2 linked regions of the Pelodiscus sinensis genome follow. The protein of the gene in region 1 interacts with the protein of each later gene in a pairwise test. Links are inferred from orthologs where the notes say so. Each region holds a gene or a part of one and is shown on either strand. Other genes may lie near its edges. The genes, in order: PSTPIP1 and UBE2W.

The links.
Region 2: the proteins of PSTPIP1 (region 1) and UBE2W interact in binary tests that used the Homo sapiens proteins (3 or more experiments, as listed by UniProt). The two-hybrid records come from large-scale screens. The link is inferred for Pelodiscus sinensis from reciprocal best matches to the Homo sapiens genes PSTPIP1 and UBE2W.

The regions. Positions count from the first base shown.
Region 1 is NC_134724.1:32,682,746-32,686,665, reverse strand, and holds the start of PSTPIP1 (proline-serine-threonine phosphatase-interacting protein 1), read right to left. Parts: upstream 3,034-3,920; 5' UTR 657-3,033; coding exon 591-656; intron 1-590. UniProt on the Homo sapiens protein: Involved in regulation of the actin cytoskeleton. May regulate WAS actin-bundling activity. Bridges the interaction between ABL1 and PTPN18 leading to ABL1 dephosphorylation.
Region 2 is NC_134712.1:53,659,906-53,663,825, forward strand, and holds the start of UBE2W (ubiquitin-conjugating enzyme E2 W), read left to right. Parts: upstream 1-966; 5' UTR 967-1,562; coding exon of another isoform or gene 1,563-1,577; intron 1,578-1,644; exon of another isoform or gene 1,645-2,027; intron 2,028-3,920. UniProt on the Homo sapiens protein: Accepts ubiquitin from the E1 complex and catalyzes its covalent attachment to other proteins.

The sequences.
Region 1 (3,920 bases):
TATCCCCCGCGGCATTTAAATAAAAATGTCCGCCGCTTTTTTCCGGCTTTTAAAAAAGCCGGAAAAGAGCGTCTAGACTGGCCCCGATCCTCCGGAAAAAGTGCCCTTTTCCGGAGGCTCTTATTCTTACTTTGAAGTAAGAATAAGAGCCTCCGGAAAAGGGCACTTTTTCCGGAGGATCGGGGCCAGTCTAGACGCTCTTTTCCGGCTTTTTTAAAAGCCGGAAAAAAGCGGCGGACATTTTTATTTAAATGCCGCGGGGGATATTTAAATCCCCCGCGGATTTCCCTACGACGACTAGTGAAATTTACATGCCCCTTCCGGAAAAGGGGCCAGTGTAGACGTAGCCCTGGAGATTGTTGACCTGTTGACTGTGGATCTGTTTGCACTCAGTCACTCCCACAGGAAAGTATTATTGTGTATTTCACTGGAAAAGACCACATCAGAGGGTCCCATATCTGATGGCTGAAGAAGCTGTTGTACACCTTCTCCTGCACTATTTTAGTTTGAGACACTAAAGACGTCAGGAAAAGAAGAGAGGCCTTCATTCTGGCTATCTGGAAAAGGTTAGCTAGCCGTCAGAACCTCACCTCAGGAAATCTACATTCTTCCTCTGCAAGAATGACCATCAGCCTCCTGTAACACAGGCAAGACATATTTAGCAGCCCAAACTTCGTTAAGAAAATCAAAATAATTCCCAAGTCCACCAATTTTTCATCCAGGACTTTTACTAACAAATCTCACTCCATAGCATATGCAGGAGGAAAGATGCCAAGGTAAACAGATTGCCCCAGAGATGGTGTACTTCAACATGCCCTTCTAGTTGGTATGGCAGAAGGATGGAAAGTAAAAAAAGATTTCAAAGTTTGTCTCAGTATTAATAGGTTTTCTAGGAGTCGTGCAGCAATGGAGAACTCCATCATAGCTCAATGGAACTTCATTATGTTCTGACCAGAAAAAATTCCTCAGAAGCAGTATTTTCACTATCCAGCAAATGCTCAATGCTTCTTCTTGAGACCGCATCCAGTATTAAATGTCCACTCTAAACTTTCAAAGCCTTTCAGGTGCTGCTTCCCATTGTTTCAATCAGCAAAACACTTTTTTCTCCCAATTGCTTTCTCCTGCTGTGGATGAATTTAGAAGCAATATACTTGTTTCAGAAAATTATAGGGCACCGTGTTCAATGGGCACAAAGTAGCCCTCACTACATGAACTTCTTTTGTACTATATAGGCCTGCTACCTTAGGCACCCGCGACAAAATTTAGAAAGACAATTCAACTCAAAACCATAGCCTAACCTTCTATTAAGTACTTCCTTCCTGGATAAAGCACAAGTCAATCAGGCCTCACCCTCCTAAAGACATGGGTAGAAAGAGGGACTTCACCAAATTATGTGTTTGTATCATTGCAACACATAAATACAATCTTTTCCAGCTCTTTCTTCTTCTTCTTAAAGGAAAGTAGGCAAATATCGAGTGTTTAATGGTTTAATCAGAAAAAGAACATTTTTGAAAAATGAAATATCACTTATGATAGTGTGTATTAAATATTCTGTACGCTACGTCTCCCAAATGGTTATTATTATGCCTGTAGAAATGTTGGACTCTTAGGGTGTGTCTAGACTACAGGGTTTTGTCGACAAAAGTGGACTTTTGTCGACAAAACTATACCTGCGTCCACACTACCACTGAGTTCTGTCGACAGAATGTCGACAGAACTCAGCAGTTTTGTTGACGCTGGTAAACCTCATTTTACGAGGCATAACGCCTTCTGTTGACAGAGTTTCTGTCGACAGAAGGTGTTATTGCATGTAAACTGTCCTTTGCGTCTACACTACCATGTCGACAAAGCAGCTTGCTTTGTCAACAGAACATAATGTAGTCTAGACGCTCTTTGTCGACAGAAGCCTGTAGTCTAGACGTACCCTTAGGTTTGTTTCTGCACATTCATATCAGGGCTCACAGGCTCATTAGAAATAGAAATGTTTATGAACATACCTATAACCCACTGTTTACACACAGCATACCTCTGTGTAGAAATATCGAGAGCTATCAAAAAAACAAAGCTATGTCTGAGGTTCACCTCAACAGTAGATTGTATAGGGTATCTACACAGAATTGATATAAAGTTATAAGAAAGATGAACCAGCTTCTTTACCAGTGAATTTGATAATGAATTACCAGAAGTTTAAAAGTCTCAGAGGGGTAGCCATATTAGTCTGTTAAAAAAAAAGTTAAAAAACAACAATGGTCCTGTAACACGGTAGAGAATAACACAAATATATAAATAGTATCAAAGCATTCATGGACACAATCCACTTCTTCAGATGACAAATATGGAGAAGTGGGCTGTGCTCATGAAAGCTCTGAAACTATTTAAATATTTTTGTTAGTCTCTAACGTGCTACAGGATCATTGTTGTTTTTTAACTTTTTTTCCCCTGGAAATTAAAAGTGCTATGCTTAGTCCAGGGTTGGAAATAAGAACCTCATGTTGCTAGTAAAATTTTCAATAGCACCTAAATGATCTAGGACCCTAGTTCCCACATTTAGGAACCCCCATTTTAGTGACTTTCAAATTAGGTTTAGATTCCCAGGGTCTGATTCAAACCCTGACAAAGTCAATGGGAAGCCTTTCTATTGACTTCAGTGAACTTTGGATCATGCCATATGTGCTTAGGTCACTTTTGAGATCTAGGCTCCTGAATCCAAATGTAACAAATTACATTTGGGGAAAACACCACTCCTCTAAAATTTCTTTCTAAAGAAAATGGAGCATGTTTTCCTTTGCATGCCAGATTGTGAAGACTGGACATGCAGAAGGTACTTAATTAAAAACACTAAATTTGGTAATAAAAAATGTCAGTCACAGGTTTTTTATATACCCTGAAGTTTGTCAGATTTGTTTAAAAATCTTTGTAGCAAGATCAAGTCAGTTGTCCTGCTGAATACAACATTAAATATTACAGAATATATGATGCAGCCCTTTCTGTTTTACATTTTCTTCGTCAGTATTTTTAAACTGGTTTTATATTTTAAATATATGGTTAAGCCTTCATAATCATTCCAGATTTCTACATATTTAAACTCACTGAAACAAAGACATTAATCAGTCAGAGCAATTTAGTGAGTTCAAAACAAAGTTCATTGCTCTTAGAAAAATAAAACACCAATTTATTTTGTGTAATTTTCATAACAAGACATGTTTATGAAATTTCATTATATGTTTATCTTTAAAATATGTTTCTAAAAATTTTAGGCATATCAAAGAATTTTATATCTTAGTAAAGAATCTTGGTGGACAGTTCTCTTAAAACTAGTTCATCAGATTGTCAGAAGTAAAAGGGAAACTCATTTGTCCAGCTACCTGGAAGAAAAGGAATGTTGTCCCTTTAAGGACTCTCTTCAACAGGGGTGAAAGGAGAGTATGGATAGATTGAAAGATGAGGAAGACTTTGGAAGGAAGTTTGTGCCATAGTAATTAAAATTAAAATGTATGTTTTAGATAAGGGTGGTCTTTTGAAGAATTTATTTAAATAGCTATGTCTGAAGAGCCAAGCATTTAAGGCTAAAGCTGAATTCTCAGATTGTGCCTATAAATATCTGTGTGTGGATAGGTACAACAAACTAATGAAATATTTAAAGCAAATATTTAAACCAAGGTCCTGAAGGTAGAGTAATGCACACCTGTTTCTGTCCGTAAATTCAGGGCCCGGCATGCCTGTTAAATGGTTTCATTACCACTTGATTGCTCTATCACAGGTTCAATGTTATACTCAAAGGTCTGGCAAGCAGGAAGTCTTTTACTTTTAAGTTAACAGATCCACTTTGGAGGAAGAGTCACCAGGTCAGAATAGGGATAGGATGAGGGGAGGGGGTTAAGCGGTAAGACCCACGGGAGGCATTGACTTCCCTTGCCTTT
Region 2 (3,920 bases), on another chromosome or scaffold:
TATACATGATGTGCAACACAAAGGACAAGACCACTAGATGATGATGACAGCATTTTTTTCTAGTGTTGCTAAGGGGATGAGATGCCCAGCATCATTCTAGAAACTATCTCAATTATTTGTTTGTGGTAACACAAGCCTCTGGAAATCATGGGATGTCATAGGTGATCTGGCAGATACATTTACACACTCACCCAGACAAATATTAGACCTGATCTGCAACCAACAAGTGTCTACTTCCCCTCTAACCAGGGGATGGTACCACCACCAGCTCAGGCCCTGTTCCCACTCCATCTCTTCCCCAAGCCTGCTCCCCCTCCTCCTCCCAAACACACCCAGTCCCTGCTCCTTTCCTCCCAGAGCCTCCTGCATGCTGAGAAACAGCTGTTTCGTGTATCAGAGGGGTAGCTGTTTCGTGGTATGTCAGATGCACTGAGAGGGGGAGGAGTTAGTTAGTGGGGCTATAGGAGGGTGAGAGATCTTGTCAGCAGATACTGAGCACCTGCTAATTTTTGTCCAGGGCTGAGCACCCCAAAGAGGGGACAGTGCCATAATAACTAGTATCAGACACAGGACTGGTAGCACTTCCTATTATGAAGATTGCCCCACATTTCACCGTGTTTTGAGTTGCATATAACTTCAGCAAAATGTAACTATTTGGGCTGAAGTTATATGCCATTTGCCCTATGTCTGAAGCCGCCTGAAATATTCCAGCTATTTACAAGAACATAAACAAGCCAGACACTGTTTTACCACGTTTAACAAAAATGCAAAGGCTGTTCTTCTCACAAGCTCGAGCACCCTTGCGCTGTGGCTCAGGGGTTTGGGCCGTGGGCGCGGCCTTCCTCTCGGGGCTGCGCTGGACGCTGTCCCCAGTGCAATCCACCCGCCTTTCGCAAACTTACAATTCATGCATTTGACTTATCAACATGTGCACGTGCGCAGTAGAGCCCGTTTCAGCATAATGGACAGTGACACAGTTCTCATGTGACCTCAATGCAGCTTTCCCTGCACGGGGCGGGGGACGGGAGGGGGGCAGGTCGATGCAGGAATCCCACCAGGGTTGCCAGCCCTCCAGGCTGGGCTTGGTGGCTCCGGGGACTAACGATTCCGCTGTAACTGAAGACTGTGCCACAGGAAGAAAGCTGCAGGAATCCGTCCACCCACAACTGGCAACTGCCCATGCTGCCCAGCCCCCGCCTGGAGCCGCTGGGTGCCGAACAGGAGACGGGGGGCAGCCCCGGCTCCCCCGAGGCTCCGCACGCGCAGTGGCCCAGCCGCGCCTGTCGCGCCCCTCCGCCCCTAGCCCCGCCCCGGGCGCGCTCCAGCGGACGGGCCTGCCACGCGCGGCTCCTCCCATCCCGGCCTCGCCGGGCCGGCCTGTGGGCCCCTGCCAGGCGAGGCCGCTACCTAGCGCAGCCGCCACCGCTGATCGCTCGGCGCATGCGCCCTGCCCCTGTTGGTTTGGGGGGCCCACGTGATCTGGCGGGACGCCGCTGCGTCTCTCTCTCTCGCTCTCTCCGGGTCCGGACCGGCGGCGCAGAGGGGAGGGGGGCGGATCCATCATGGCGTCCATGCAGGTGAGGCTCTGGCGGCGGAGTCGGGGCGCCGGGCCGGAGTGGGGAGAGCGGCGCTGCCGGGGTGGCAGGAGGAGCCGCTGGCGGGGTGCGGGACAGCCGGGAGGGCGGCGGTTGGCGCGGAAGCTCTGGCCTCTGGGGTGCCTGTGGGCAGCGCTGGGGAGCCGCCCAGGAAGGGGACTCTGGGACGGGACCTCCCCCCGGAGCGCGAGGGCCCGATAAAGCCCCTGCCTGGCGTGTGAGCGAGCTGTGGCAGACACCCCGCTCCCGGGAAGGGCCGAGTTCGGGTAGGGCCCCCCCCTCCTTGGTGTGTGTGGGAGGAGGCGGGGGCGCTTCACACACTCCCCGGCGGAGCTGGGAAAGGAGAAGAGTCCCCGACCGCCGCCGAGTTCCCTCAAGTGTGAAAGGAATGGCGGGTGTGGTAGAGTCAGCCGGGCTCTTCCTCTTCATTGGGTGCGTGTAAGGATCGTACGGGGTAGGGCACAGAGACTCCCAGAGTGCTCCTAAGGGAGTTTATGAAGATAGGAGGGGGGCATGGCTGCCTGAGGTTGGTGGTGGGTTGCACAAAAAGACAGCCTTGACAGCCGCAGGATTACATTCAACCCTCCCCTATTCGCATCTATAGTAGTAACCTCCCGCCACTTAGTCCACAAGTCCTTTTATCTAAGGACAGGGATAGTGATTCATTTATCCATAAGTATGTTCATTGAAGGATCAGATCACAGCATTCTAGAGGTCTGTAATGCATCCGATTTAGCAGTAAAAGACAGTAGAGGGAAACTGGCTTTTGGGGTTTTTGGGAGAGTGGGGGATAAGGGAGGATCTGTCTCTTGGGACTCTCTTGGTCAGATTATCCTAAATTTGGATCACCAATGCTGCTCTGTACCCCTACAAGGCACACCACGTTTCAAAGCATTATCATTAACCATTTGGAGTATAGTATCAGAGGGGTAGCCGTGTTAGTCTGAATCTGCAAAAGCGACGAGGAGTCCTGTGGCACCTTATAGACTAACTGAAGTGTAGGAGCATTACACTCCTACACATCAGTTAATGCTCCTACACTTCAGTTAGTCTATAAGGTGCCACAGGACTCCTCGTCATTTGGAGTATAGCATACTTAGAACCTTATAGCATATCAAATGGCAGGAGTGGAAATCATGTAGCTGTTTTTTCTGTATTGGCATATGCACAGTGTAAAAATAGACACTTTCTTAACTACTGTTCTCAAATTGGGTTTCTATAGTGAATGCTATGCACTATCTTGGATAAAAATTGAGTTGAGACCATTTTGACCCCTAGCGTAGTACAGCCGCTTCCCAAGTTACAACCATCCGCACTTACGACCAAAGCGGTCGTAAATGCGGATCTGAGTTATGAACAGCGCGGTCACCGTGTAACTATGGGATCTGAGTTACGAACACTTCAAGTTACGGACCAAGTGTTGGTCCGTAACTTGTTCGTAATCCTGGGGAGCAGCTGTAATAGTTTGCTCTCCACGACTGGGCAAAACACCGTCACATAGAAACTTTTTTTAAAATGGCTATTTTTGGAGGGGACTTATATTTCTGGATCTCCTGACTCAGATGACTCCAAATTTGGGTCACTAACTCTTCAACCTCCAGAAAGAAACAGCATTTCAGAGAGATCCTTGTTTTTAGATGATGTAGAAACATTAATGTTTAAACAGGTGTCATGAAGTAACCTTAACTATAGCGCTTCTACACCACTACTCAGACAACAGAGAAGGTGTACAAACTGGAACATTACACGTGGTGTTATACTGATATTTATCTTTAGGGTTTATAACTAGGAATGACATGAATAAATGCAAAAATAATTATAATTAAGCTAGAAAATTTTATGGATGAAATTTTATTAGATTCTGAAATAGTCCCCCCCAAGAAAGTAATGGAAGTCCAGTTTACGTGACGTTTTAAAAAAGGCTGGGTAAAGCACTTAAGGACATACCATATCACATAGTCGTATTCTATAAGACTTGCATGCCACATTGTTTCTGCTGTTTGGTCTTTATTTAATATTTAGAATTCTTTATGCAGCCTGGTTTTGACTACAAAATATTATGTTCCCCAAAGTTTCTGTTAAAAGAAACTCTTGTAGGTGTGTATAAAAACTGTGTGGAAGAGACTGTTGTGACACTTTAAGACAATACTACAGGTAGCTGGGGTTTGAGAGGCCTGTGTTTGTCACTGATCTTTGTTGTGTTCTTGTACAGCTTATTTCACATTTGTTTCTCAGTTTGTCTCTGTAAAGGGAGATGACTGCTGCCTATCTGAAGCACTTCAAGATTCACAGAAAAGTGCTATCTAAGAGCTATCCGGTATTAAT